Linked DNA regions of Nothobranchius furzeri. The main gene of each other region encodes a partner of the protein of the gene in region 3 in a complex. Links are inferred from orthologs where the notes say so. Each region holds a gene or a part of one and is shown on either strand. Other genes may lie near its edges.

What was found. Proteins that work in one complex are often made in the same cells at the same time.
Region 1: polr3c (region 3) and polr3k share a complex: the UniProt entries of both Homo sapiens proteins name them as parts of the RNA polymerase III complex. The link is inferred for Nothobranchius furzeri from reciprocal best matches to the Homo sapiens genes POLR3C and POLR3K.
Region 2: polr3c (region 3) and crcp share a complex: the UniProt entries of both Homo sapiens proteins name them as parts of the RNA polymerase III complex. The link is inferred for Nothobranchius furzeri from reciprocal best matches to the Homo sapiens genes POLR3C and CRCP.
Region 4: polr3c (region 3) and polr3f share a complex: the UniProt entries of both Homo sapiens proteins name them as parts of the RNA polymerase III complex. The link is inferred for Nothobranchius furzeri from reciprocal best matches to the Homo sapiens genes POLR3C and POLR3F.

The regions. Positions count from the first base shown.
Region 1 is NC_091745.1:3,876,221-3,880,942, forward strand, and holds polr3k (DNA-directed RNA polymerase III subunit RPC10), read right to left. Parts: upstream 2,235-4,722; 5' UTR 2,092-2,234; coding exon 1,981-2,091; intron 1,870-1,980; coding exon 1,782-1,869; intron 1,365-1,781; coding exon 1,237-1,364; 3' UTR 967-1,236; downstream 1-966. Other genes in the region: snrnp25 (U11/U12 small nuclear ribonucleoprotein 25 kDa protein), read left to right, coding at 2,561-2,782, 3,709-3,799, 3,941-4,046, 4,406-4,480, 4,572-4,629. UniProt on the Homo sapiens protein: Core component of RNA polymerase III (Pol III) which synthesizes small non-coding RNAs using the four ribonucleoside triphosphates as substrates. Can mediate Pol I proofreading of the nascent RNA transcript.
Region 2 is NC_091750.1:56,809,528-56,815,122, forward strand, and holds the start of crcp (DNA-directed RNA polymerase III subunit RPC9), read right to left. Parts: upstream 3,267-5,595; 5' UTR 3,152-3,266; coding exon 3,144-3,151; intron 2,363-3,143; coding exon 2,326-2,362; intron 2,230-2,325; coding exon 2,131-2,229; intron 2,045-2,130; coding exon 1,950-2,044; intron 1,838-1,949; coding exon 1,780-1,837; intron 1-1,779. UniProt on the Homo sapiens protein: DNA-dependent RNA polymerase catalyzes the transcription of DNA into RNA using the four ribonucleoside triphosphates as substrates.
Region 3 is NC_091745.1:77,810,522-77,816,174, reverse strand, and holds the start of polr3c (DNA-directed RNA polymerase III subunit RPC3), read left to right. Parts: upstream 1-2,319; 5' UTR 2,320-2,447; intron 2,448-3,836; coding exon 3,837-3,983; intron 3,984-4,157; coding exon 4,158-4,422; intron 4,423-4,532; coding exon 4,533-4,825; intron 4,826-4,922; coding exon 4,923-5,027; intron 5,028-5,653. Other genes in the region: rnf115a (E3 ubiquitin-protein ligase RNF115), read right to left, coding at 1,516-1,593. UniProt on the Homo sapiens protein: DNA-dependent RNA polymerase catalyzes the transcription of DNA into RNA using the four ribonucleoside triphosphates as substrates.
Region 4 is NC_091746.1:29,575,198-29,580,730, forward strand, and holds the start of polr3f (DNA-directed RNA polymerase III subunit RPC6), read right to left. Parts: upstream 3,267-5,533; 5' UTR 3,131-3,266; intron 2,818-3,130; 5' UTR 2,669-2,817; coding exon 2,607-2,668; intron 2,198-2,606; coding exon 2,080-2,197; intron 2,002-2,079; coding exon 1,934-2,001; intron 1,859-1,933; coding exon 1,791-1,858; intron 1,711-1,790; coding exon 1,598-1,710; intron 1,418-1,597; coding exon 1,274-1,417; intron 1-1,273. Other genes in the region: dzank1 (double zinc ribbon and ankyrin repeat-containing protein 1), read left to right, coding at 3,558-3,666, 4,010-4,157, 4,246-4,348, 4,449-4,506. UniProt on the Homo sapiens protein: DNA-dependent RNA polymerase catalyzes the transcription of DNA into RNA using the four ribonucleoside triphosphates as substrates.

The DNA of each region.
Region 1 (4,722 bases), about 74 Mb from region 3:
TTAGTTACTTGTATTCATTACTCCAATCAACATGTTCTGATTCACTGTTTAGCTGTTACCTTTGTCCCCGTCTGTAGTTTTGAGAATAAAGTTAATATTTGCACTTTATAAGTTTAAACACACATTTTGTTTTCATTAAAACACGATTTTACCCTGAATAAAAGCAAAGTTTTATCCAGGTGTTACTAGTTTCTGTAGTCGACCGAGTTATGAGCCATATTCAGACTTTTGGGCCATTCCCATCTGTGCCGGGTCGGGTAGCCCCAGTCGGCCCCAGCCTGGCCCGGTTGATTCCACACATCCTTGCCTTAAGCCCATGTGGGCTGATTCTACCCACCAATCAGAGGCTTGCTCTAATGGAAGGTGTGAAGTTGCTGTCAGCAGTGGGTGTGTTGGCCCTGGTCGGCCTGAAGCAGACCCCCTCGAGAAGAGGGCTGAGAATGAGCCTTGGTTGGCCCGGAAAAATACCAGGCCACCCAGATATGTAAACAACCTACGCTACCCGGCCCGGGCCGACCCGGTACAGATGGGAATGGTCCACAAGTGTACTGAAGGCGATAGACAAGCTAATCACTTAAAAACGAAAGCATGACATCTTGGTGTGTGTTTTTCTGTCAGGCTCATGCAGCACCATTTCAGATTTAGCTGATCTTAAGAGGTTTTAAAAACTGAGTACTAAGCCATTAAGGATTCACCTAAATGAAGGTTCTTCGCTTAGATGAAATGAAATACATTTGATTAGTGAGATTTTAATGAGCTTCATGAAGTTGTTGAATTAGACCTTTTGCAAAAGTGATTCTGAACACTAACAGTGAATCATCTCAGCATGTGGGATACATCAGCCACTAATGCTTCTCGCAGTTTGCCTGGGCTATACCTTTAGTAATAATCATTGATGTGCTCCGACTCTGTGCATATTTTTTTCCTCAAGACTGAAAAATCTGTGCAAAATATAAAACAAAAAAACACATTTTGTGAAGGATTGTAATGGAACTTTAGTCATGTTGTGAAAACTGCTGGTCTGCATCGCTCCAGATGTCTGATGTACAACTATGTACGCAATTTATGTGACTGTACACAGGCGCTATTTTACCAATAAAAATCATGAAGTAAACACTTTGTCATGTGGAACATTTATCACAACTGGAAAGTAAATGGTGCAAATAAATACAGAAGAAAAGGAAAACCAGGCCAGAAATCATCTGAACATTTGAAATAACTACAAGTAGAAAACTTTCAGTCTCTCCATCGATGTCCACACTGGGCATTACAGCATTTGTAGAAAGTTGTCATGGGTTCATCAGCAGATCTGGTCTGAATCTGCATGAAATACGCCCGAGGATGCTCACACTTGGGACATTTTTCTGTACAGAGATAGAGAAGGAATATGTCAGCTTAGAGGCCACACCGGTATGTACCATCTTATACCCCAAATACCTCTGGTATGTCCAGGTTTTAGTTTAAGAATGTTAATCTTAAGAAATCACTAATCCTGTTTAAGGATCATGAATTGTTTTAAGGAGATAAATAATAGTTTATTAAGCATCTAGCCAATTCTACTATGACCTAAATAAAGATACAGGATATCAGGATTGTTGAATGGTTTGGCTTGAACAAAAAGAAAAACTGAAAATCCTGGATTAATCCGTTTGTATAATTGAAAATTGGAAGTACACTTTTCTCATTTTAGGCGTTAAAACACTTTAATTACTTAACTAAAACTAAAGAATATGCTAAACATTTGTATGCAGACTCCAGGAAGTCATTTTAATGTTATTTACCTGCAGTTGAATCCACGTTCTCCCACGCAGCAGCCCCACCGAGAACATCATCCACCTCCTTTAATTTGGGATACTTTCGGTTGTTTACCTTCAAGAGAAATAAAACAAGACCTTAAACTTACAAACCTAACGACAAATATTTTGTGTTTCTGACACCAACTAGATGATGAAACCTGGTTTAGTTACGGGTGACTCCTACCTTTCTTGTGATGTTGTGTATGTAAGGACAGGTGTTACACGCGAACCTCATACACTTCTGTCCTTCTTCTACGATCAAAACGTTTCCACAGGTAGGGCAAAAGAGTAGCATTTTAAATGTAATCAATTTGGTCGCAAACCATCAACTAAATGGAATCTAAATGTGATTTCACCAGAAACCATCTGCTGCGTAGAGAAAACCGGAAGTCGACTGATGAAAACAGCTCGAACGGAAACAACCGGAAGTCGCTAATCGTTTAAACAACATGCCTAATTGTATGTAAACAATTCTATATTAAAATGAATGTTATTAATTTATGATAAGAATACGTATTTATCAAATGTTAACGCAGCTGTTCATTTTTATTTTCATCAAGTGGAACCTTTTACATAAGGTCCATTTCCGTTCCGGTAGTTTGTTTGTACTGCACACAGTTACATACGGGCTTTTGCTGTTCTAATTCTTCTTTTTTAGCAGCAGTTTTGAAGTAAACCTGTAATTGTTGTCCAGGTAAATTGTATCCAGACGACGTTTTCTAGCAGGAAACCCGGAAGGTACCCAATAGCTGGATGATTATCGGATGGAGGAGGAGCAGAGTCCAGGTTCTGCTGTAGTCAAAGGAGGTGAAGGAGCGCAACTAGTGCAGGATGAGGAGGTGAAAAAGGAGAGCTTCCTAAACGAGGCAGCTGCTGAGGAGGAGGACGATGAAGATTCTCTCCCTCACTCTGAGATCCTGGATATTTTTGAAGAAGGACTTGCTCGACTTGTGCAGGACCCTTTACTCTGCGACCTGCCAATCCAGGTGTTATTTCTGAGTGCCCTCAGTTACTCTGAAGGAAAACGTGTGTTGTCACCTTTATTTGAGATTCACTCATTGGAGCTGGTCTATTTTATTTTTAAAGTCCAATGACGATTGTAGAAGATATTTGGGCCAGGATTATACTTTTGTAGGATTTAGTAAATCACACTGTTACAATATCGTTGGGTATTGCGATGACGATAACAGTTGTGCTAAATCCTCATTTTCCTCACTCTGTTACCACACATCACTCACCACTGGTGTGTTTTCAGCAATAGCATTAAGGAGATTCAGTCACATGAACATGTCCCCATCTACTGTGAATCAAGCTGTTTTTGTGTGCCACTGAAGCAGTCACAGTGATGATGTTTTGTGATACATTGTGCAGCTTTTGTTACTTTAGTCAAAAGTTTGGACACACACCTCACCTGCAATTTCCAAACAGTCTATTTAGATACCTATTAAAACTCAAATGGATCCCATTTGCACTACAAAGTGTTTATGAATCAATTTGCAAGCTTCCAATGGAGTAAAAACAGCAGATCACTGCATATTACAGTTTTTATTAGAGCAAAGACAAAATTATCTCCCCAAAGTCCTTGCTGATGTCTCTTCTTGCTTGTATGTTAAAGCTGTGTGATTTGTACTCTGTCCTAATATTGGTTACACAAGAGGACAGCAGTAGAAGTATTAGCTCACGTCTACCTTGTGCATTTTGTTAGGTCAATAAAGTATATTCAAAATATTTCACTGTATTTTGCTCAACTTGTCAAAGTATTTCCAAATTTAAGACCAGCAATAAATCTTCATAATCTAACAGCAAGTCCTCTCAGGGTTGTGAGCTTTTCTAGATGATGATGGTCTGATGTGTGCAGAGAAATGGTAATCGGTGGCGTCAATTTTAATGTTTTTTTTTTCTGTACCATCAGGTCACACTGGAAGAAGTAAATTCTCAGATAGCTTTGGAGTACGGCCAGGCGATGACTGTGAAGGTCGTGAAAGCAGATGGTGAAATCATGCGTAAGTGTTGCTTTTTCATTGTTTTATTATTTCTTTTTTATCAACTTTCTATTTTTTGTTATTAGATGATTGAAAATTATAGCCTGACATCTACTATTCTCATCACACTTACTTTTTTTTATTTATTATATTTAAATGAAGCCATAGTTGTAGTCCAAAACGCTTCAGTCCTGGACCTGAAAAAGGCCATTTGCAGATTTATGGAGTTGAAACAGCAACGGGAGGGAGGAATAAAACATATCAGCTGGTAAGAATATTTAAGTAGACAAGGAAATAAAATGCATTCAATATATATATATATATATATATATATATATATATATATATATATATATATATATATATATATACATATATTATATATACATACACACATATATATATATATATATATATATATGTATGTATGTATGTATGTAATATATATATATATATATATATATATATATATATATATGTATGTATATATAATATATGTATATATATAATATATGTATGTATGTGTATATATTTATGTATGTGTATATATTTATATATATATATGTGTGTGTATGTATGTATGTGTGTGTGTGTGTGTGTAATATTATTGTATGTGTATTATCTCAGGAGATATGTTTGGAGAGCCTATCATTTAGTATTTGAGGGTGTGAAGCTTGAAGATGACACCTTGAGACTAAAAGAGTGAGTATATAAAATTAAACCTTAGATATACATTTTAACATTAAAACTGACAATTCCTCCTTTTTGTGTGTGTCTCTTGTGTTATTTTCAGCTATGGGATGAGAAACAGAGACGAAGTGACGTTTATGAAGAGACTCAGAAAAAAGTGACACACCCAGAATTTGCATCATGAGGAGAGAAGCACAAAATAGTTGTAAATTCTGATGAGCTGATGTTAATTTTATAAATAAATGTTTGTTTTG
Region 2 (5,595 bases), on a different chromosome or scaffold from region 3:
TGTTTCACCGGCTTCGGTACCAAAGAGGGTCTGAGAACCTGGCATTCTGGATCTGCAACGGAGGTCTCCGCAAGGGTATGTAGCTCGGCAAGATAGCGTCTGAATGTGGTTTTTGAAACTCGACTATAGTTTAGAGCAAGCATTCGCTCCCACACAGAACTAAGGCTTCTCTGGAAACGAGAGTTCTGATAACAACATTCCACATTTACACCATCCATCTTGCCTCATTCACAACTAGATCCATTCATCACACAGAGTGTTAAGGTTGGTTTATGCTTGACGCGTCCGCGAGGTCTGCACGGCTCCGCGCGGCAAAATTGCGTCATTTTAACAACCACGCCCCTCCACCGCGTCTCCGCACAGCCCAAAATTTCTGCAACGCGCACCTAGGGAAAATTTCTAACCACGCGGACGGTCGGACGTGGAAAAACATGGCGGACCGGCTAGAACTAGTATGGCAGAGGTTCGTAAATACAGACATTTGTATGATTTAGCTCTCAAAGATCACCGTGATCAACATGTTGTTAATCATTCTTGGAGAGAAATAGCTCGCACTGTCAGAAAAGACGAGGACGCTGTTAAAAATGCTGAAATGCCATGTTGTAAATAGTAATTTTTACTTCTACTATGGTGTAGTGTTAGATGCATGCCGTAGAGCTCCATGTTGCCCCGTTCAGTTTGGGAGAATATTGGCTCACCGCAGAGACAAGCCGCACGAACCATAAACGCTGCGAGTTGTGAAGCGCGTTCCATCCGCGAGCCGCATCACCAAGCGGAAAGTGAATGCGTCAAGCATAAACCAAGCTTTAGAGTTAAAGTTAGAGTTAGCCTTGTTTTAAATTGTTTAGAAATAAATCTTCTTAAACTTTAAAACTTGTCTCTCTCTTTGACTCTGGGTTATTACAAATTATTACCTAATCCCTGCAATAAAAAGTTCATATCTTCTGATTAAAGGTAGTATTCAAAGATACATCAAATTGATTCCATATTTTCTAAGGAATCTCACCTTTGATGGTTTCCTACGTAAGAGATGTAACTATCGATACACTACAACAGCAATGCGACTCTACCACTGATTATCATCTCCACAAGTAACACAAGCCTGGAGGAGCTTTTGCTGTGTGGTGGAGTTGCTAATGGTTAGCTTCTACTAGCTGAGACATTCTCTGCCGTTTCCTGGACGCTAAGCCAACAACAGCCTTCTCCGTCATGAATCAAGATGAGTGAGTCCATTAATGTTAAGTGACAGTGTGACTTAGATCTGTCAGGCTTTTCTAATCCTAGAGTTTCACCGTCTATTTTCCATCCGAAGCTAATGCAGCAGATAGACGTAGGAGACTATTTTCATGTTCAGCCTGCATGAAAAACTCAGAGACCGATTATAATCAGAAATATTCACTAAAAGTGTTCCACACCTTTAAAAGAACCACTTTTTTATAATTAACAAAGGATAAAATAGCAGCTAGTTCAAATGCCACGCACCAAACTCTTAGCGTGATTAAAATTAAAAAAATAATATTTTCCTTGTGTTGCGATACATTTTTAAAGTTTAAATTCTGTTTTGGGTGTCTTGATTCAACAAAAACATTTAATTTCCACAGTGTGTGTTTATTTTTTACTCAGTCTAGGTCTGAATGCTATTTAATATTTCTCAATCAAAGATTAAAGAAACTGCAGAGCTGGCAGGCAGAGCTACTGTGGATTTCACCGGTTATTACTGGTAGCCTGGTAGGTTGGGTTGCGTTTTGCACAAATTTTAACAAATTTAACGAGACTCACTAGCTGAATTTCTACTGCAGTTTGAGGTCGGTGGTTCAACAGCTGAAGTTTTTCTGCCCTGATGATGACAAAAACAAATCAGATTAACAGAAAAAGGCTAAATGTTAAGACAATGTCCATCGTATCAACACAACTAAATCAAAATAAAATGTTTATTAGATCTCACTGACTTTGTGAGTTTGTGGGGCATCATGGTGGTGAGGAACTCCTTGACAATCTCAGGACTTTGTCTGCTGGACGGCGTCTTCGACAGGTACTTAAGTGTCTGATGGCGAACCCACAGGAGATTATGTTTGTAATAAATATGACCAAAACATTTATATAAATGCAGGAAGAGAGATGTGACCTGACCTCATACATGATAGTGTTGAGGTTCTGCTGCCCGGCACTGTGTTTGCTCTTCCCCCCATCTTTCCTCTGTTCCTTCAGATCTATGAGAAGTTTGAACACCTGAGCAGTAAAAAAAAAGAAAGTAAAAGTTACAAACTGATCTGTTTGACTGAACAGTGAATAACACGTCATGCGAGGGTAAACCGACTATATTACCTCATAGTTGCTGAGCATTGCAGCACTTGAATTTTTGCTGAAAACACAAAAAGTTGAAAGTTTTGAATTGATGTAGTTGTTATGAGCTGCATGGAAGGGAGGAGCTGGTGCTGCTGCCTCACAGCGAAAAGGTTGCAGGTTCGAATTCCAGCTGCAGCCTTTGTGGAGTTCTCCACTGCATGCGTGTTTTCTCTGTATGGATACTCTGTTTCCTCCCACAGACCAAACGCATGCATCTCAGGTTAACTGTTGACTCTAAGTTGTCTCTACCTGTGAGTGAGTGCATGTGTCTCTGTGATGGACTAGAGAGCTGTCCCCTGTCCACCATCAACTCGGAATATAGAGGAATGAACAGTTAAGATGATTAATGCGTTTTTTGTCTCCATGTGGGTTAAGAAATTAAACCTATAAAAATGCAGTCGAGAGTAAAATATTATTCTGACCATTTACGAATCGTTTAGTAAAAATAAATAAATAAAAATCAGCTAAAAGTTTCATTTAAAAGAATTAAAAAGACTTTAGAAAAAAAGTCTTCAGTCATAACAAAAGGACCGTGTTGTTTGGCTTTAATGGTTAATACTGACTCGTTTTTTGTTTTTAAATTTTAATAAGCTAGGATGAACAGTTTTTCGTCCCAGACCGAACTGAAAATGTGTCTCTGCTGTTTCGCTAGCTCTGTTCGCTTTCATCCATCAATAATAAACCAAAAACTGAAAACTACGGCTTATAGTTGTTGTTAAAAACACAATTCACAACAGCTACTTAGCAAAGTCTCTTGCTAAAATAAACTAAATGAAAGGTAAAAATGAAATCCTTACACTTCCATTTATGCGCCCGGAACTGCGGTACGTTGTTACACCTTCCGTGGGGAAACGGAGAGCATGGATAAAGGTTCCGCCGACACAAATGTGAGGGGAGAAAAAAGTCTCGAAAGGTCTGCTTGTGTGTGTGTGTGTGTGTGTGTGTGTGTGTGTGTGTGTGTGTGTGTGTGTGTGTGTGTGTGTGTGTGTGTGTGTGTGTGTGTGTGTGTGTGTGTGTGTGTGTGTGTGTGATCGACAGGCGGATTGGTTCGGCGTCTGCAGTGAGCCGATCTGTCGTGGTGAAGAGGGAGCTGAGCCAGATTTCCTAATCTAACAGATTTTAAACATTAAAATACTCAACAGAAATAGTTCAGAAAGGAAATTAAAATGTTCACAACTTTGTGTGTGATTTATTAGTATTATCATGAGTATTTATTGTGGCAGAAGCTGGTGTGGTCCACCACTGAGAAGCTTCTCTAACATGAAGACTTTATTCTACAGGTTATTGTTCAGCCTTCTGATGCGCACGCACACACACGAGTGTTGGTGAGCGGCTGCGTCTGACTGCTGACGCTCCGTGTGTGTTTTTATTTTTGCAGTGAGACAAACTCACCTCACGCCGTCCAGAGTTTGTTCTTTAAAGCTTCTATTAAATCCACCGTGTTGATGATTTTAACACGTTTCCTCTACGCTGCAGGAGTTAAAGTTTACATTACGGAGTAAAAGTTCGGCGGACACGTTTGTTTATATTTGGCCGCTGCGCGCCAGGTGGGGGGAGGGGGGACTCGGTACTGCACACAGAAAGCTGGTGTGATCAGATCTGAAAAGCGTTGGTAGATCACGTTTATTTTTCACGGAGATCAGCTGCGGATTCCTCTTCCGTCGGCATTCTAGGAATCGAAACTTGGAATCTAAATAAAAAAATTTGAACGATTCCGGGAAAAACTAACAGTTGGTCCCCGTTCCAATCGATGCTCGATGCCCAACCCTAAATTGACTAATAATTTTTGTACTTGTAAACTGATCTGTGTGTCCTGTAGACTTGTCCGTGTGTACCAGGTGATTTGTGTGTGTGTGTGTTCAATGATTGTATGTGTAAGAACTGAATTTACACACAAAAATATAAACACAAGTTACAAATCAAGAGTTACACACACAAAAATCTTTAGTTACGCACACACAAATGTAGATAAACACACACAAATCTAGATACACATAAACAAATCTAGATACACACATACAGATCTTTTGAGACTTTTGTCCTCCCCATACAAACATGAGGTTTTTGCTGCACTCTTATGTCCTTGTGGCAGCAAGCAGCAGAGATCCCCCCCCCCCCCCCCCCCCCATTGGGTCTGTTCCATCTTTCATGATCTTGTGGTGGTATGATCTCGTTGACAGGCTCTGGTCTTGTGCTGCTATCAACAATCCTTCAGTTTCTGCCTTCAGTCCTGCACTGCGTAGCCACTGATATGATCTTGTTCTACGTCTGCTTTTTTTTACTCTCAAGGGGTATTGTCCATGCATTGGCTTTTCCTCCCATGTTTCTCTCATCCTCTTTTGGGCCCATTTCTTTGCCTCCCTTTTGGTCCTCTTGGCAAAGCTTGTTATGGTTTCTTTCTCTTTTCTTGCCACATCTGGGATGTTTAGTTCCTGTGCATGTCTTATAGCTTCTTTTGTAACAGAGTACAGCTTCTTGCGAGCTTCATGTTGACAAACGAGGATCAGTAGGGCATTGTCTGTTGTTTCAAGGTAGGTTTTCAATGCCATTGTTGTTGTTTAGTAAGCCATCTCAAGTTGGGTAAGTCCTCTGCCTCCAATCTGTCTTGGTAGATACATTATTTCAACATCCGGTTTTGGGTGGTGCATTCTTTCAGATGTCAGCAACTTTCTGGACTTGGTGTCTAGTTTCTTTACTTCTTTAAGTTGCCAGTTGATGATGTTAAAACTGTATGTAACCGTTGGAACAGCTGAAGTGTTGATGGCTTTGATCTTATTTGCAGCATTAAGTTCACTCTTGATAACAAGCCTGACTCTTCTGTAGTACTCTTTTTTGACTTTTTTCTTTCATGGTAGCATGTTGTATTCCATCTCCTTCATTGACCCCAAGATATTTGTATGTATCCTCTTGACTGAGCTTCATTATGACAGTCTCTTGGTCCAATTGTATGTTTGAAGTTGATGTGAGTTTTCCCTTTTTTAATGTAGCCTTTGCACATTTGTCAAGTCCAAATTGCATGCAGATGTCATCACTGAAGAGCTTGACTATTTGGAGTAGTCCCTCTTGTTGGTTATCATTTTTGGCATAGGTCTTCAGATCATCCATGTAAAAAAAGGTGGTTGATCTTCTTACCTTGAACCTCATATCCATGTTCACTGTTGTTTAGCATGGTGCTGAGTGGGGCTAGACATAGACAGAAACGGAGAGGTGATAGTGAGTCTCCTTGAAAGATACCACACCTGACTTTTA
Region 3 (5,653 bases):
AAAATCCCCTACAAGAGATTTACTAGCATTTTAAAAGTGAATTTATTAAATAAACTAAAATCAAACAGTCACATTTGTATAACAGAAATTGTTTCATTAACACAACCAGAAATGTAAAGCTGGTCTGCCAACCACACCTAATGTGCTGAGTGGTAAATTCAGCACGACAGAATGAGGGAAATGCACAACTGCATGCTTATGTGGAGTCTGAAACTAATGTCTTGTTCTGAACTGGATAAGAAAACCACACAGCAGTCAAAAAAACTACTCATGTGTCATTAACTCAGATTTGTCTTTTTGTAATTGATTACTCGACTAGTAAAAACAAACAAACTGGAATACACCAAAGCTGTGTAGTGTGATAAACTTACATGTTGCAGTAAATTAGCTCCCTGTAGCAATATAACAGGACTAAATGCTAAGAAGACAAGATTTTGGATCAACAGAACATAAGTACAGAAAATGAGATAAAAATCTGGGCAGAGCTAATAAGAAAACAGAAGCTGCTCGTTTATTATTGTATTATCATTCATTTTAATTCATTGGTGTGAGAATTTACACATAAAATAACAGAATTCAAGCTGTTGGACCCCTTTCCTGTCACCGTTTACACCCCAAGATCCAAATCTTCATCCGTTTCTGTTCTTCTCTTTAAACATTGGATTTTCTTCCATAAGCATTTATTCATTAGACTGGATGAGAAAATAACTATTGTCATATTTGATTTGCGATGTGGTTGTAAATTTTAACATGAGTTCAATTTATTTAAACCAACAAACAAAATAATATTTTTCATTTAAGACAGAAAAAATAATCAGCAACTGAAGTTGAGATTAACTTGTGTGAATATTCCTTAAAACAAGTGTGATGCATTTTTCTGAAGCTGAACAAGGTTAGTGTTTACACACTTCTATAAAATTACATTAAATCTTGTTAAAACTAGTATCTTCTACCAAGTATTCATTAGGGCTAGTGTGTAGGTCACAAAGTGCACCTAGTGCTGCTTTGACTTCACAAATGAAACTAAACATTAAGTCCATGAAAAATCCCCGAACTCGTCATTCCAACAGTATATTTGACCAGAAACAAACACTGAAAACAAAACTAGTCCACTGTCTCTCAGCTGAGTTTTAAATATGTCGTCTTGGCTTTAATGGTCCAGACAATCCGTGTTCAGGTCTTGTTCGGTGGAAAATACGCTCACAACACATTCACAGTGGGAAACCTGAAGCTTCGGGCCCTGAGTTTTGACACAATTACGCGTAGACACACGAATAGAACAAAACTTGACAGTGTCAAGTTTATAACCCAGCGTTTACCTCAAGTAAAAACAAATTAGGCACCGTTTAATTCAGAGAGTTAACAGCAACAACCGTTGCTAGCTGTTAACAAGCTAGCGGCGGTTTAGCTGTAGCAGACAGGCGAAACTAACTGCTATTGGTCGAGCAGCGGTGTTGTCAGTCGCGCACGATGTGGAATATATCACACATGACTAACCAAAAACACCGGACTTACCGGGAGTTTAGGATTTACTTCTCCCTTACAACAGTGACAGAAAAACCGATGCGGGGGAACAGGCGCGGCCTCCGCCATCTTCCCCAAGCAGCACAACTAGTGACGTTGGTCCTTTACAACCAAAAGACACTTTATGGCAAGCCGGTTCATCATATAATAAGTGATAATTCTGATATTTATCATATGCATTTTCATATCCTCCAAAATGATTATAAGTTGTTTTAAAACGTTTAATAATAAAAACGTCTTTATGATAGCAGTAAATCATATGAAAATTTAAAATATTTCAGAGTTACCACGGTATTCAAGACCTTGAAATCTGCACATTGTTCTCTAGTGGGAATTCCAGTTTTGAGAAACAAATTATTATTCTAACAAAAGTTGTTCGACAGCAAAGTACGTTTAGATTTTTTAAACCGGAAACTAAATTTCTATGGGAATTTGTTTGTCCTAACATTTGGGAAAGGTATTTGAGATTCTTGAAATGTTGATTTTGAATAGGTGAAATATACCTTTTGAAATACATGGAAGGAACTGCAGATGTTTACTGATGAATACTGACTTCACCCAGTGTGATTGTGTACCTCTTACTTTTTGTCTAACTTATTAACACGTCGAGCGCTTGAAATTTCAGTTGTTTATTCTGATAACTAAAAATGCAATTCATGAACAAATTTTTTTTTATTTAAATTCCAAATGAAAAAAATGGGATGTGGTTAATTATATGCTACAACAACTTGCCTGAACCAAACGATCTCCAGCTCGACAGGGGGCGCTGCACTGCAGCCAAATCCTGGAGGGAAGACCCAGAGAGCGGAAGTGTCTTTTTTACCGGAAGTGTCTGTGTGTTGTGATGGAAGAGACGCATGTGTAAAAAGTCGATGCATGAAGGCAACAGCTACGTTTGCTCCGAAACCCATCTGCAATAAAAGGTTCGTGAAAAAAATAAGTTACGTGTATTTATTTTTCCTAATTCTTTACTTTCAGGTGAGCTAGCCGCTAGTAGCTTGTAAGCTAATCCACTTAATACAACTTTAGCTTCACTGGTGTGGACATTAATCAGAGACGCTTAAAACATAATTAACATTTAATATTAGATGAAGTTTACATGTTGTCTTTTGTTTTATGGTGCTTTAGTGTTTTTTTAACCGAAACATCACAGTTTAAAGATGCTAGTGATTGATTTGTGATGCTTTAAGTGTACTAGTGTTTTAGTGTCCTGTCAAAAAAGTAAATATAATTTATAAAATACAATAAAATGACTTTATTCTTGCAATAGGTTAATTTCTGTTAAGATGTTGATAATAAATCATACTAATTTACCTATTTAAGCCAACCACATACACAATATTCAGTACTTTCCTCACAACTTGGTACAGTCATTTTGTCATTTAATTAGTTTGTTTATTTTGATCAACTGTTGGTTCATATTACACTGATTATTTTGTTTTCAATCTGTTTCATGAAAAGCATCTTTTATAAAATGTTCTGCTAATCTGGTGCTGCTTCCGTGGGTTTTATTATCGTGATATAGGTGATGTCATCTAATTTACTGTTTTGCTTCATCTACAATAAAATACAGGAATTCTTCTACAAAACCTGTAACATAAATAAAACCAGTTTACTTCCATCCATCCATTTTCATCCGCTTATCTGGAGTCGGGTGGCTGGGGCTGTAGCCTAAGTCGAGAGGTCCAAACTTCCCTCTCCCCAGCCACTTGGGCCAGCTCCTCCGGGGGAATCCCAAGGCGTTCCCTGGCCAGGTGAGAGACATAGTCCCTCCACCGTGTCCTGGGTCTACCTTTAGGCCTCCTCCCAGTTGGACGTGCCCGGGAAACCTCACCAGGGAGGCGTCCAGGAGGCATCCTGACCAGATGCCCAAGCCACCTCAACTGGCTCCTCTCGATGTGGAGGAACAGCGGGTCTACTCCGAGCCCCTCCCGGATGACCGAGCTTCTCACCCTATCTCTAAGGGAGAGCCCAGCCACTCTTTGGAGAAAACTCATTTCGGCCGCTTGTATCCGTGATCTCGTTCTTTCGGTCACTACCCAAAGCTCATGACCATAGGTGAGGGTAGGAACGTAGATCGACCGGTAAATCGAGAACTTCGCCTTCCGACTCAGCTCTCTCTTCACCACGACAGACCGGTACAACGCCCGCATCACTGCAGACGCAGCACCAATCTGCCTATCGATCTCACGCTCCAGCTTTCCCTCACTCGTGAACAAGACCCCGAGATACTTAAATTCCTCCACTTGGGGCAGGACCTCATCCCTGACCCGTTTACTTGTGGATCTTATTTATATTGTATGTTTTTGCAGATGACAGCCCAGGAGGTACGACTGTGTGGTCTTCTGATGCGAGAGCATTTCGGGGAGGTGGTGGAGAAAGTGGGAACACACCTGCTCAGAAGTGGTGGCCAACATTTACGAGCCATTGTTCATGAAACTGGAGTCTCAGCGGACCTGGTACAAATGACAAGCTTCTTTCTGCTGGTTAATACTGAGAATATATTTGCTTAGCAGCTAATTGTTGGTGGTGATGTATTTTAGATAAGTAGAGTTGATTTATTGGACAGTTTTACACTATAAATGATTTTTAATCACACAGTACAGATGCTGCTTTTGCCTTTGTTTTTAAAGGTAAAGAAGTCTTTATGCGTGCTTATGCATCACGGAGCGTGTTCGTTCATCTCTGGTCGAAAGGGACCCGGCAGCCCCCCAGAGTATCAGGCAAGCTGCGATTGCATTCTGAGGATTCTGCGATACCCACGTTACATCTACACCTCTAAAACCTTGTACGGTGACACCGGAGAGCTGATCGTTGAGGAGCTGCTTCAGAGGGGTCACATGACGATGAGCGGCACGGTCAAGACAGTCGCTGACCGCCTCAGTCAGAACATGGAGGGTCAGCGTCTGATTTTAAAAAGACAAAAATCTGGATTTGATTTTGAATGTTTTTCAGGTTTCAGTAGGATTTATATTACGTGACATCAAGTGTCTATGTTGTTCTTACAGATGGGCAGAGCGTTGATTACAGCGAAGTGTCGTCTGTCTTTTCTAAACTGGTGGAGACGCATTTCCTGCAGCGCTGCCCTCCGTTGGACGGAGCAGGAATGACAGCCAGCAGCACTCAAGCCGGCCCCAATCCCACTGCAGCCGCCTCCAGCTCCACCCTGCCCAACCCAGAGAGCTTCTCCGAGTGCTATAAGGTGCCTCATGTGACCCTCGTCGGGCGGGGAAAGCGCCAGCTCGCCACCGAGGAGGGAGAAGAGCAAAGGAGCGCAAAAAGAGCCAAAATGGAGCCAGAAGTCGGGAACAACTCTCTTTTTTCACCTATTTATTCATTCCAACATTTCTCTGTTTCTGCTTTTATCATCATCACACACGGTTGGTGTTTTTGTGCAGACTCATGGTGACGAGGGGATCTACTGGCAGGTGAACTTTACGCGGTTTCATCAGCACTTCAGAGACCAGGTGATCATCAGTGCCGTGGCCAGTAAACTGGATCAGGTCAGGCTTCCTCTTCAGGACTAAAAATACGAGTGAATAAAAAAAAAAAAAGAGTTGAACGTGCCTACAAAACGCTTATTCATTCTCCTGGATGACTAAAATGTTTTATGTTGTTTCTGTGTGTTTAGAGAGAACTGTCAGTCATCAAAACTGGATAAAAAAAATCAATAATCAACAGTAAACGGGCTCCAGCCCTAAAAAACAATATTTTTATGAATGAAACCAAATCTCACTAATACATGCATTAGTGAGATTAATTATAGTTGTAGCTGTATTTATGTTCTCTTGGTCACTATTGTGTTTCAGGTGTTTGATGAAGCACTTTTTAAAGCTTTTGCATTTAAAAGGTCGTCGTCTTCCTCCGCTTATCCGGGTCCGGGTCGCGGGGGCAGCATCCCAACTAGGGCGCTCCAGACCGTCCTCTCCCCGGCCACCTCCACCAGCTCCTCCGGCAGGACCCCAAGGCGTTCCCGGACCAGATTGGAGATGTAACCTCACCAACGTGTCCTGGGTCGACCCGGAGGCCTCCTGCCGGCAGGACATGCCCAAAACACCTCCCCAGGGAGGCGTCCAGGAGGCATCCTGACCAGATGCCCAAACCGCCTCAACTGACTCCTTTCGATCCG
Region 4 (5,533 bases), on a different chromosome or scaffold from region 3:
TTGGTCAGCATGTGTAACTGTGTGTCCAGACTGTCCACACACAGAGCAGTAGGGGCGGGGAAGAGGGAGGATCAGACTCAGACACACAGCAGAGCACATGCAGGTGGAGGGAGACGAGAGGGAATGAGGAGGAGGAAAAAGGTGAGAGAGAGAGAGAGAGAGAGAGAGACAGAGAGAGAGAGACAGAGACAGAGACAGAGAGAGAGAGAGAGAGAGACAGAGACAGAGACAGAGAGAGAGAGAGAGAGAGGGGAGAGCGCGACGAAGACGGTGAGAAAATGAGCGCCAGCAGTCGGAAAGTGGAGATTTCTTAAAGTGTTCAGTTATTAAATCCATAGAAATGATAAATATTTGATATATTGCTTTTTTTACATTAGTAAATTATTTTACATATAGTTTATCATCATTTTGGTTATAAATGTACTCCACGCAACAGAAAATCTGAGGAGCCACTTGGGAGCCGAAAGAGCCGGCTCTTTTTGGTGAGCTGAGCCAAAAGAACCGGCTCTCTAAAAAGAGCTGGAACTTCCATCACTAGTACCAGCTGAGGGTACCTCTTAGCCAATAGCGATGGCAGGTTTAAATTCAAATGCAGTGAAGAGTTTTTACCTGACAACGGTACTACACTGACAGTTTTAGGCAGAAAATTTAAATTTGAACTAAAATGCACTAAAGTGCAAAACTATTGACTACACGTGTCTGCAGCACGATTAGGCATGCATTTATATAGTTTATCAGCAAATAAAGCTGATTTGGGGGTGACTTGCTCTTTAAGAATTATTGGTAAAAATCAAAAACAAAAGACAGGATGCATTTTAGATGTTGCTTTTGTGTTTTCAGCTCTTTTGTATTTTTACTCCAAATTTGAATTTATTTAATTTAAATCTGCTAAATAAATCCTCTAAAACATTAATGTAACTAACATTTTTTATTCACCTGTTTTCCTTATTTAATTCCTAATTAATTTGGTGACTTGTTTGAATAACTTTGATTAAATATTTGATTTTATTGCAGTTTAGTACAAAAATAAGACTCAACAGGGTCAGGAATGTTGAGCATCAGCTGCGCTTTAGCAGGCAGGTGGGAAAAAAATTAAAATCAAGATGTTGGCAACAGAAAAACCCACATTGGATGATTTCCACTGCAGAAGTCATCCATATTTGTGGACAAGTTCAGGCTGTTGCTGAGGTGAACACCCATTTTTGTGCTCCTCTGCTGTTTTAGTGCACGCGTGTGTGTGTGTGTGTGTGTGTGTGTGTGTGTGTGTGTGTACCTTGCTCTGGAGGAATTTGAAGCACTGCTGGTTCAGAACTTCCACAAACTCTGACTCAAAGTCCTGGTCACTGTACCAGGCCCCACCTGTTACTGAGCGGTCTGGCTGCAGGTTGTACAGCATGTAAACCTTCTTCTTTGATGCCTACACACACACACACACACACACACACACACACACACACACACACACACACACACACACACACACACACACACACACACACACACACACACACACACACACACACACACTTTGATCACTAGTTAGAAAGCAATGCTCTGGTTTATGAACCGGCTACGTTTTTGTTCCGACAGCACTCACCGCCACAGACTTGACAGCTTTTATGAGTTTTTTGCTCTCGAGGTTCTTCAGGATCTTGTTGATCTCGGTCAGAGGGAGGTTGCTCTTAAAGCGGATGTCTCTGCTCCAGATTCCTGCAGCCACATTACACAGCCGTGATGTTCTAATCCGTTAGTGGTGAGCTGCATGTTTCTAGACATAAATAGGTTGGTACCTTTGTTTCCTGCATCTTCAATCACCTGATAGACCAGCTTCTCCTGGCTGTCTGAGCCTTTCATCTTACTGAAGCACAGAAAGGCGTTTCAGAGAGGCAGAACCAAACCACACAGGGGCCAGCGAGCAGATCTCAGGTCTTACCTGGACATCTGAGAGTCCTTTAGTCTGTACAGGAGACCTGAACTGTTCCTGAGAAGGTCCAGGTGACCCTATAATAGAATAGAACACCAGTTCAGATCATCCATCAGCATCACAGAGACCGACATGGGTCAGGTCCTCGAACCCACCAGGGCCAGCAGCTTGTTAATGGCCATGGCTCTCTGCTGAGGCTCCAGGTGAGGCATGTCGTTCTGGATCACCTGGTCTGTGATACCTTGAGGAAACTGCTGACACAGATCTTTGATCCTGGGTCACAGAAACAAGTTTAAACACATCAGAACGTCTTTTCACGTATGATTAACTTTTGTTTTTAAAGCAGTTTTCGCTTCAATCAGCTGCCTCCAATTCTCCTCTTATTTGCAACAAACTTATGTTTTATTTAACATGTATGAAAGCAATGCCTCTGTCCGTGTGCAAGACAGCAAACAGGTGTAACAGAACGATGGTGCAAATCTGGCAGCCACGTTGAAGACATGAAGTCTACTTTGGGACTTTCTTTTGACAAATAAACGAGTGAAGTGAATGCCGAAGTCTGAGTGAGCCTGTTCCCGTCCCGAAAACGGGTCCAAACTCAACTTGTCACCGATATGTGAGAGATTGTGGATGAGAAACGTTCAAATCGACCGAATGGACACAGAATCCGGTCCGTTCCAACCTGCTCTCCACCTCCGCGGGTTCCGTCTGGTTCATCTCCTTCTTCACCTTCACCTCCGCCATTCTGAACCGGTCGTGTGGCTCGTGTCCGAGCAGCGGCTCCGTTAAGGCGGTGATTCTGGTCCGCCACAATCAATCTCAGAGCAGGCGGTATCAAGATTGCCCTGGAGGGGTCCTTACAGATGTTTACCCAGCGGTAGGTGTCCGGAAAACTGCCCGTTCAAAAATAAATTAATTGAGATTCAGTTGAGCGGTTAAGTGAAAGACAAAAAAAATCTTATTTTAATCCTCAAAATTACTTCTCATTTTTTAATGTTTTTCAATTGAACCCACTTTTTATATTATTTTTACAATTTAAATAAAACGAGTTACTGAAACACCAGTGCCTACATTCAAATAAATCCAAGCGGAGAAAATTTCTCTAAACATTCATGAGATGCTAGTCCTGTCATTTCTAGGAACTTCTAAAGAGTGAACTTGTAGAAAGTTTCGCGGCAGCCCCGAGGGGCAGGCACTTGTGCTTACTCGTTCGTCTCAGACAGACTCTGTTGCCATGGTGACGTTGTATAAACGCTGCAGTTCTCAGAAGTGTCTCATCTCCCAGCCAGCTCGATGCGTCTGTATTCTTGAGCTCATAACCGTAAAAACGGTTCCGCTACACAACAAGAACTGTGCGGTACGGGAGCGGTAAACCGGTAGCCAGCGGAGGGCGCTGTCTAATGGCTGACAGCTGATTAATATCAGTGTTGAGACGTTATAACCTCTTATTTAGTACATTAGATTGCTATCCTGTTTTTTCAGATATCATCACGTCTCAGTGAGTTGTGACGGTCTAGCTGGACGTTTGTGAGCAGCACTTTTAAAACAAGGACTCAAAAAACTCAAGTTTTCTTTTCTGCTTTAACTGAAGAAGAAGAAACCCTGATCTCCTGATTTGTTGATATCCGTTACCATGGCAGCAGGAGCTGTTTTACCTCCACTTATCATTCCCATCATCTACCTGCCAACTCATCGAGCCAAGAAGCACATCGATACCACAACACCTGTCTCCATCCAGTCAGGTACCCCCCCCCCCCCCCCCCCCCACACACACACACACACACACACACACACACCACACACTTCTGTCCTCCATTCATCTATCTATCCATCCATTCATATTCTTTTGTTAATTTCACAACACACACACACAGCATGGATCTAGCTGGTTCCAGCTTTTTCTAGCAAGCTCTATCCGGTTCTAGCTGGATACAGGACGGATCTTCTGTGTTGCAGCAGATCTGAAGAAACTTCTGACTGAAGATACTTTGTGGTTGAATTATTGTCTTGCGACGAGGCTGATCGGGGTTTCTGCTAAATTTGCCACCTTGCAGCGCTGATCTAAACAACAGTTTGTGCGTGCAGACTCTGCAGGTGTGCTGATCTTCTATACGTTGGATGGGTCGAAGCCAGAGCTGGGGCAGAGAGGGGCAGCTGGCAGCAGCAGGAAGTACACAGAGCCCATCCTGCTACCTGCTGGTCGGGTGTCTGTCAAAGCTGTGGCTGTCACCAGGTAAACACTCACCTGATAACGAGTGACAGGAATAAAAGTAGCACTGCATCACTTCCTGTTTATCAGACCATAACTGTGTTTGATACAGTGATGGCAGACAGAGCTCTGTGGTGACCAAGGTCTTCTCAGTGGTTCAACTGGATTCAGGCAGCACTGTGGAGAACCAGAATAGTCTGCAGAACCACTTGAAGGTAAACACTCACCCGCTGCTCTGCATATTCCATAAACCCGTCCTCTATTTGTATGAAACTATCTGCCCTTGCTCATTCCTTCATTGTTCTGTTACTTCAGCCTGATGGAACTTGTGATTCTGCTGAGAAATCACTTGGTTCTCCACAAAGATCTGTAGGTAAGTACGAAAAGGTCCACTAGTACACACCTGCACCCAAACCAGGTTTAATCCATCCATCCATCCTAGTCTAATTTATTATTCATTCATTTTCTGAACTTCTTGCATCTGAGTGGAGTCTTGGGGACACACGGAGACAGATACCCAGCCACACGCTCACTCACACCTACGGTACAGGCCAAAGCTTTGGACACACCTTCTCATTCAATGTGTTTTCTTTATTTTCATGATCATTTACATAGATTCTGACTGAAGGCATCAAAACTATGATTGAACACATGTGGAGTCATGCACTTACCAAAAAAGGTGAAATAACTGAAAACATGTTTTGTGCGCTAATTTCTTAAAAAGGCCACCCTTTGCTCTGATCACCGCCATGGACGTGATTTTGGGGGGGGACAGGGGGGACATGTCCCCCCCACTTTTTCCAAAATCAAGTTTTGACCCCTGCACTTTTTACCATCCAAAAACAATATTACGCTATATTAAATTGACACTGGTTGAGCTCTAAGACCAAGCGGAAAACAGCCGTTTGTGTTGAAACCTGTTTCCCATTAGAGCATACTGTAAAGATCCCCCCCCCCCCGTGTCCCCCCCACTTCTCAAGTGAAAATTACGTCCATGATCACCGCTCTGATTACTCTTGGCTTTTGATGAGCTTCAAGAGGTTGTCACCTGAAATGGTTTTCCAACAGTCTTGAGGGACTACCTCTTGAAACTTGAACCCTGAGAATGAGAAGGTTTGTCCAAACACACTGAAGCATCACTTCATTTAATCATCATCATCAACTTGTATTTATAAAGCACATTTAAACGGCGACAACGCCAACCAAAGTGCTGTATAAGACAATACATCACCAAAATAGATAAAACAAATAAAAACTATAAAAAATAAAAACAGGAAAGCAGACGGGTTAAACACTCTCAGCCGGGAAGGCCAGGGAATAGAAATATGTCTTCAAACGTACTTTAAAAGTGGGAAGGGAGGGGGCGAGTTGGACCGTCAGGGCCAGGGGGAGTTGGTTCC